Linked DNA regions of Drosophila melanogaster. The protein of the gene in region 2 interacts with the protein of the main gene of each other region in a pairwise test. Each region holds a gene or a part of one and is shown on either strand. Other genes may lie near its edges.

Region 1 (4,428 bases), on a different chromosome or scaffold from region 2:
CTGGCAAGGTTTTGGGGTTAGACAAATGTTATGGGTGCCATAAAGCTGAAGGTGGAGCGCCCATTTAAGTTCTTAGGAATGAGAGTAAATCTGAAAGGATGTAAGGCCTCTCGGTTCAAACAAAAAACCCTAAACAGTTTGGAGCTCATAAATCAAGTCGTACATTTATTCCTTCGCTACAACCCTTCTAATCTCTGATTCGGCTGAATTTTTTTTAAATATTTGCAGTAAAAATAACCCAAACGGAAATTAGTAAAAGCTATTTGAACTTCGTTCCATTAATTAAAGGATTTAAAATCATTTATTTATTTATTTATGCTCCATGAAAAATATTATATTTTCCGACTAGCACATACGTCCAGCGCCGACTTTATCGCCCTTATTGGACTCCAATTCCTGGAGGACCGATGAAAGAAGACTTATTTCGCGCATGATGAAGCTCATGATTTTGTCGATCTCATAGCTGTGGTAGCTGGGAACAATGTCTGCGGGGGTGGAGTTGGTACATCAGCTAGAGTCAAAGGATTTCAAGGACATACCTCGACGTTTGCAGAGCATGCGGTACAGGATTTGAATGCCATCAAACATGCGCTCCTTGTCCAGGTTGTAGAGCGACGTGGTGTCCTTGCAGGCACTTAGTATCTTTTCCCACTTGAGGCAAGTGGCCCGCGAGCTGACATAGGAACGATCCAAACGGGCCAGATCGTTTTTGAGGCCCAAAACGGTCAAGGCCGCCTCGCTGGTGATCTGAACCATTCGCAGGCGCATCTCCTCGATCTCGTTGAGTTTCTGGCTCTCCAGCTTATTGATCTCCACCTGGGCCAACACTGCACAACAAAAACAAATTTAGAATGGAAATTACAGGAGGTGTGGAGAACCCACTTAGAGCGTCACATCGATCGATGCAGTCTTTCGTTGAGATGAAGATGTCCGACACCTCGACTACCTCCTCCAGGACCCTCTCGTATGGCTGAAACTGAGCCACCGTGGCCTTGAGCGCATTGCGAAAGGTGCTCAGTTCGGCAATGGAGGTCTTGAACTCGTCTATCTCCTTGGTGACCTCCGCGTGGAGAACGGTCTCCTCGCGAATCGACTTATCCGCACTGCGCTTTTTGTCCGCACAATCCTTGATGAATCCATTCACCTCGACGAAGCGTTTGCGCAGGCGCTCCTGAATCTTGTACATCTTGCGAATGCGCTGCACATTTAATGCGGCTTGCCGCTTGGCATCTTTGAGTAGCTGGATCTGAACCTGCTTCATGGCGTCGTACTCCCGGAGATTGGCTATGTACAGCATCTCGATGTTATCCCCGGCCGAATCCCAATTGGGCGGTTTCCTAGACCATCCAAGTTTCATTAATAGTATGACTTACATATTGTAGTTGCTCTTTTAGCTTACACGAAGAATTGGTCCTGCTGGCGAGAGACGCGATAGTCATCGATGGCGACCTCTGGACTGAGGTCCAGATCCCCGATCACATCGGTCTTAATGGTGGGCTTACGTCGCGGCATCTTGTCCTATTAAAATATAATCTTTTCAAATATATTGATATATATTGGGGGAATATCTATTGGAGAACGATGTGTGATGAGTAATTCTACATGTATATGGGCAGACAGCACAGTCAAGGATAAAAGGATTAAACCATTTTTTATTACTACATTCAGATATTTATGCAATTGCTGACGTTTCCTTCATAAGTACGACCAGTCGTTAAATCAAGTAAAAACAATTGAAAAGATATCATAATTCTATAGTTGTTGATTAAAAATTAATCATCATCGAGTATCAAGAGTATATTAGGTTCGGCTTGCCGAAGAAGCTTCCTATTTTGTTTTTTCGAAAGAAACCAAATTGTGCAGTTACCATGACACAAAACTGGTTACACCTTCTCAACCATTGCCACGGTAATAAAAGAACCTCCTGGCAACCAATTGTTTTTATGTGTCACCCAAATAAAAAACATGTTCCAAGTAGGTCTTGTTAATTTTTATTACAAAACAATAACACACTTTGAAAAGTAAGCACACAGCACACACAACTACTACTACAAAACGCACAATCCGCGCTGTATCGCGGTAACCAAAGCAAAAAAAAATATAAAAAACTAACAAAAACGTACACTTGAGCTTTTACTTTCGGCAAAGAGATCCAAGATGCCCCGCGTGAAGCCCACCAAGAAGCTCGATGTTCTGGGAAATCTGGACCTGCGGCCGGAGGATGCCGTGGGGGACTATATCAGCTCTAAGCAGCAGAACAAATTCTTCGTGTAAGTAGTGAATCCCACACTGAAAAAAGGCTGAAAGAGAAGTACCCAATCCTAAAATGATCCTGGTAGTGCAGTTTGAGATTTTTGAGAAATTTTACAGCTTCGTAATTTACTGTTGCAAGGATGTCTCTATCTGGTATCAATTATTTGACCTATTCGTAACTTCCTGTAGAATTCCACCGAACTCGGACTCTGCCGGCGACTCCATCGAACTGATATATGTGAACAATCTCCGCGAGCACGAAGCCATGCTCAAGCTGCAGGAGGAGATGCTGACCAGTGCCAAGCGGCAGACCAAGCTGAACTCCGCCCGGGTGAGGAACATGTACAAGATCCAGGAGCGGCTGAGGCGGCGCTTCATCGAGGTGAACAGCTTCATCAAGGACTGCGCGGACAAAAAGAGAGTGGCCGAGAAGACCGCCCAAGCGGAGACGCTCAACCATAAGGAGCTCGGCGAGGGCATTGAGAGCTTCAAGGACTCGATCGGCGAACTCAAGGCCTTTCGGGAGGCTCTCAAGGCCACCGTGCAGGAGTTCCAGCCCTACGAGAAGGTGCTCGACGAGGTGGTGAAGGTATCCGACATATTCGTCTCGCCAAAGGACTGCACCGATCGCTGTGATGCGCTGAGTGAGCATTGCTAATTTATAAAATGAAATAAAGTTATTAATTTTTTTTTGTTCTACAGTGCTGGCTCAAGTGGAGATCAACAAGTTGGAGCATCAAAAGCTCCAGGACATCGAGAACATGCGGCAGCGTATGGTGCAGATCACAAATGATGCGGCTCTAACTGTGCTGGGTCTAAAGAACGATCTGGCCAAACTGGAACGATCCTACAACGAGTCCAGAGTGCAGTGCCTCAGATGGGAGAAGATCCTGGCCAAGACCAAGGACGCCATCAACAACAACTACATGGACAAGGAGCGCACAATAGATGCGATTACCAACCTTCACCGAATCCTTCTACGGCGAAGAGGTTAGTCAAAAAATCTTGCTATTATTAAATAATTTATTCATTTTATTATTTTAGATGTACATTCGTTTCCCGCTCGCGGCGACTTGGACAAGGTGTTGGATGCCATCATGGGCGAAGTGGAAATATTAACTGGCGTTGTAAAGGAAATCGAATCATCTGATCCCTCGATAAAGCACGAGGAAGCCAGAGATAAGTCGCTGTGCTAATTGGATATCAAAATTCAAAGAGTTCATAGGGAAGACTAGGCACACCTCACAGCTATTACAACTATAAAAGCTTATTAAAAGCGAAACTTTTAAAACGTTTGTTTGTTTCTATAGAAAGAAGTGCTTTGTGTGATGGTTCGCTGCTCTTAGCCTGCTCCTGCAGCTTGTGGCAATTGTTAATTGTGCTGAGCTCTGCATTCGGTTGTTAATGCCACTTTCTAATTGCTTTTACCTCATAAATCTTCTCCGCTGCTCCTCAATGCCTCCGTCCAAGTGGATGGTCCGAATTGGGGTCCTGGAGCGGCTTTCGTCGCGTCCTGCTCTGCAGTCATCATAAGTCACCGAATTGTCGGGCACTCAAGACAAATGTGACACTTGCTTATTTAATTAGAGATCTGCAGGCGGGATGGAAGGCCAGTACTTAAGCTCCAGAGTCTGTGCATCAACTGGACGACATTTAGCGCTAACTGCGCCAACTTCGCTTGACGGCTTTTTAATTACGTCAGCCCGGGAAATGTTCCTCTTACCACTGCTCTGCATGACAATTAGCCGGTCTAAAAAAAAAAACCCGCTCTCTGGTCAATTGAAAATTTTCTTGCTATTTTTCAGCAGGGAAAAACTTTTTTAATTACCACCGAAAAGAGACGGTGACAAAAAACAATAGTCGACCATTCGGCCGGCGGCTCTGATTTTCAATTATTTATTGACAGGAGTCTCGATTCGTCGTTTAACCTGTCGAACTCTTGACACGACCTCCGCTTTTTCAGCAAATGCACAAGTTGGGTTTGGGCTCAACACTTTTGCTGCAATGCAACTTTAATGCCGGCTAACTGACAGATTCAACTTCAATAATTGATGCGAAAATGCATAAAACAATTTCGATAAAACAGTTTTTAGATGTCATCGTGTTAATTATGCATATGCTAGAAAAACAATCCCTTTGACCGGCAAAATAATTGGCTTAAACATTTGAATTTGT
Region 2 (4,256 bases):
AGAGCAAACGGAAAATGGAAATGGTGAAAGTGAGGGTTCCAATTGGCGGCAATATTGGACAAAAAGGAATAAAAACGAAAAGTTACTGGAGGAGCATCGTAGGGATTTGGAAGGAGTCCAGGATAATGACGAGCAGGAGGAGAAAGAAACTATTCGGAAACCATTAATAGAAGTAAAACCTGCTAAGAAGAAACTTAAGAAATCGAAAGTTAAGATAGAAAATGGCTGGGAGGTGGAAGATATTTGCCCAACTGATCAGAAAGAAGCCAAGGCAAGCCCGAATTCAAAAGCCATTGATGACATTTTTGAGAAACACGAGGATCATATCAGAGCCAAACTAAATAAGAAAATGGAGAAATTGAGGGAACGGATAAACAAACTTAAAGAAGTTCCTGTCAAGGGAAAGAAGGCGAAAAAGAAGGACGTCTTGCAAAACCTAAAAAGTCTGGCTTTAAAAAAGACAAAGCAACAGATAGAGATTGACGAGCCCCTTAACTACGAGGAGGATAAAAATTCACAGAATAATATCCCTGCCCACGTTGAAGGTAACACAGAAAGCACGGAAATTCCAGCTGTGGATACCATAGATCCCAACAAGGTGACAACTTTGGTGTTTACCCAAAAGAAGGGCAACTCGGGAGGCTTTAACGATGCTCTAATAGACGATGAAGCAGCTGAATACGACGAGGAAGACGCCGCTGCTGAACGCCAGTTGACAATCAGTCAAGCCTTCGAGGATGATGACATTGTAGCTGATTTTAATCGGGACAAAAGCAAGGACTCCGAGCTTAAGAACACTGAGCTTCAGCTCGCCCTGCCTGGATGGGGTTCCTGGGCGGGTGCTGGCATTTCGAAGGAGGTAATGGAGCGACGAAACAAGCGGCTTCTTCTTAAGTTGGCTGCTCCGGAAAAGCGTCGTGACGAGAATAAGGATAATCTTTACCTCAACGAGTCCGCCAGCAAGCAGGCGCGCCAGCACATGGTCTCCAGCATACCATTTCCTTTCCGATCCCTGGCAGACTACGAAGCCAGTATCCGTGCTCCAGTTGGCCGGAACTTTGTGCCGGAGACGGCGTTCCGCATGCTGACCCGTCCGGCAGTAATCACGCGCAAGGGCCAGGTAATCGAGCCCATGACAGAGAGCGAGCTGGTCAAGCCGGACAGGCGTCTACGCCACATCGTGGACAGGAGGATAAAGCGCATACCGAAAGTGCCACCCAAGGCCAAGATAGCATAGAACTAGGAATATTTTTAAAAATAAATCTGAATAATATGAACGATTGCCAGTCTCCTAATTTACTTAGCTATAGAAAGGGAAATTATTATATAAATTGCATTATTTTCTCAAATTGTTTTTTATTTTTGTTAATAACTGAGACATTTCTATAAAAAAAACTTGAATTAAAAAGAGTTAAACAATGTTTTGTTTGATTTTCGTTAAAGGTATAACGACACAACAGTAGTTGACCAAGCAGAATATTCTGGATGAAGTATAAAATGTATAAAAACTACATTTTAAATTTGAATTCAATAGCTTTCATTACCGCACGCAATGTGACCAGATTAATGGTGTTAAGTGGAACGATAGCGATAGCGTTGCCTTAAATTATTTGGTATTTTGTAAAGTTTCTCACAGACGGCAAGCACATTTTGGAATTGATAATTTGCGCAGGTTATTGTGTTTATCCAACGATTCTCGCCGCGAAAATGTACGAACTGAAGACTCTGCTGCCGCAATTCGACATAAAGCTGCCCACCTGCATGTATCCTCTCAAGAACGTTAGCCTGGCGGCGGATTCCTTGGCCAGCGGCTCCTCCACATCCGCATCCACATCCGCGTCCACATCATCATGCGTAAGTTTATTTGCCGGGCCAGTGAGAAGTTGGTCGGGTCGCAAGGACAGTGAAAGTGCAACGTATGTCTACAACGCCACATCCATTCCATTCCCGCATGTGTGATCCTTGCCAGAAATTGGAGGCCAACAGGATCGACAGAACGGGACGAAACGCAGCCACATGTGCACTTGATTTGGACTCTTTAGGCCGACAAATACAGCGACTGCTAAAGGTTAAGACCACCAAACTAAAATACGAAATTCTATTTATAAACCACCGACTAACAAAAAAAAAAAAAGAACAATACGCCAGTACCAGAAATATTTATAATGCATCCATGCTTCGTTTTGTGTGTTCTTGTGGCCTTGGCTAACGTTATATGTCGTTCCCTAACACATCCTCTTTCCCTGCTTTTACTTTCAGGACGATACGGCATCAGTGGCCGCCCGACAGGAGAAGGTTCTCAAGCAGCTGGAGGAGCTGAAGGCGCAGCTGGGACAAATCCGGGCGGGACTTGGTGTTTGTGGCAAGACTTTCCAGCACACGACTGCTTTCCAGAATGGTGGATTAAAGGAGGTACGACTATCAATATGTCAAGGTCAAGACTAGGAGTTCAAAGGTTAAATAAGAAATAATTAAATAATAATCAAAGTAAACAATATTTAGAAGCTTATGCAATAGGATTTAATTATGTGTAACATAGCTTTGAAAAGTCTTAGCTTAAAAGAGAGTTCCATCACCTTTATTTAATAATATTTCCAATAAATCAAAACCAGGTGCCACTGCAGGATGTCGTCATCAATGGACATCCCAACTTCATACCCTATGCCTTGTTGGCCCTGAAAAATGCCTGGCGCAATCTGTACACTATTGATGTCAAGACCTTTACGCACTCTACGATGGCCGACATTGGACCAGCAGCACGGGAATTCGAGGCCAACTTGGCGAAGGTTCCAGTAAACCCTGCTTTGCCCAAGATTAGTGTGACGCTCATCTGGAAGAACTGTAAGTATAACACATCTACAAAGTACAAAATACTGTTTATTCGATGCCTTCCAGGCGAACACACCGAGATGATCAGCTCGCCCACCATGTACGTGCCCATCTACGGAGAGGTGAACATCATTCGCTATCTGGGCCGTGTGGGTCCAGCCGAGTATCGTTATGAGGGCTCTCCGCTCTGCAATGAGATCGACCTTGTCCTGGACATTTGCTACCAACTGCTGCGCTGCAACACGCACAAAACGCAGGTGGCCATGGTGCGCCTGCTGGACAAGCGACTGCAGAAGCAGCAGTATTTCGGTGGATCCCAGATGTCGGTGGCGGATGTCGGTGTCTACAGCTCACTGATACGCATGCCAGCTGTTACCGAGAAGGATCTGACGCCTGCGCTAGTGGCTTGGAGAAAAAGGGCCAAGCTCGTGGTTCAAATTTAAATAATTCAATCGACAAAGGCGAACAAATAAATTATAGAATTCAATGTGATGCACTGAATGGTTTTCTGTACCCTTTCCTTTCCTAACGAAAAACCATAACAATTAATCCATCCAAATTGAAGGACCATCTTATTTTTTTTTCAGTAATTTTATTTGGCTTATTTATCTTTGTTGCAATTCTGTTACTGTTTGAACAATGCGCTTCATCGTTTCCATATTGCAATAGCTGGTTTTAAACTTACTTTGTCAATTTTGCACTTAAAAATTGCTTAATCGCTATGTTTCCATATTTGCTTTTATTCTTGAAATCCATTGATTGTTTAATATGGTTTTTTTTTCTGTTCTTTACCTTGATGCTGTGTCCATTATGTACGATAGGATGCCGCGTCGCGCGAATTGGGACATTTGTATTTCGTTTCCGCTCATAAAAATGTGTGTATGTATATTTTTAAATATTAAATACCTAGTACATATGCTGTGTATATTGATAATCAGTTTCTGTTTGAGTTTCTTGTGTTATTGGTTTTATTCTTGTTTCTGTGTTGTGTGTTTCTTCTGCGTATAAATGTTTGGATTTGGAGAAGTCCCTGAACTCTTAATTGCTTGCCCACAGGCTGGGAATTGAGTTAGCCCGCATGCATATAACCTGTAGCTTATACGATCATCATCTTAGTTATCAAAGTAAAATTGAGTAGATAAAATCAGCGTAGGACCATTGTTTCAACTACCCTCGGTACATATAAACTTGTTAAATAATTGTTTTCTCAGTTGTTCGGTTTAGTTTCGAAACGTGTATAATTAGAATTAATAATAGTAATAATGTTGGAGAAATTAAAAGGCGGTGGCTCGCCGCCCTGGGCAGGAGTGGGAGGAAGAGATGACGCGACCCTGGCCTGGCTGCATTATGTGGTCTCGCCCTTGCCGCTGTCATCAGCGGATTCGGCATCGTCCGCTCCGGCGGCGGCCGCCTCTCTGACCAGCCCG

Evidence for each region. Proteins that work in one complex are often made in the same cells at the same time.
Region 1: the proteins of AIMP2 (region 2) and CG17564 interact in a two-hybrid assay, tested with the Drosophila melanogaster proteins (one large-scale study listed by BioGRID).

Annotation. Positions count from the first base shown.
Region 1 is NT_033779.5:19,297,457-19,301,884, reverse strand, and holds CG17564 (uncharacterized protein), read left to right. Parts: upstream 1-1,951; 5' UTR 1,952-2,157; coding exon 2,158-2,270; intron 2,271-2,442; coding exon 2,443-2,897; intron 2,898-2,955; coding exon 2,956-3,243; intron 3,244-3,297; coding exon 3,298-3,449; 3' UTR 3,450-3,540; downstream 3,541-4,428. Other genes in the region: CG10750 (uncharacterized protein), read right to left, coding at 346-483, 538-827, 883-1,337, 1,400-1,512.
Region 2 is NT_037436.4:15,582,028-15,586,283, forward strand, and holds AIMP2 (aaRS-interacting multifunctional protein 2), read left to right. Parts: upstream 1-1,610; 5' UTR 1,611-1,707; coding exon 1,708-1,854; intron 1,855-1,969; coding exon 1,970-2,068; intron 2,069-2,259; coding exon 2,260-2,412; intron 2,413-2,612; coding exon 2,613-2,841; intron 2,842-2,895; coding exon 2,896-3,272; 3' UTR 3,273-3,320; downstream 3,321-4,256. Other genes in the region: CG12301 (uncharacterized protein), read left to right, coding at 1-1,237; CG7656 (uncharacterized protein), read right to left, coding at 4,175-4,256. UniProt on the Drosophila melanogaster protein: Required for assembly and stability of the aminoacyl-tRNA synthase complex.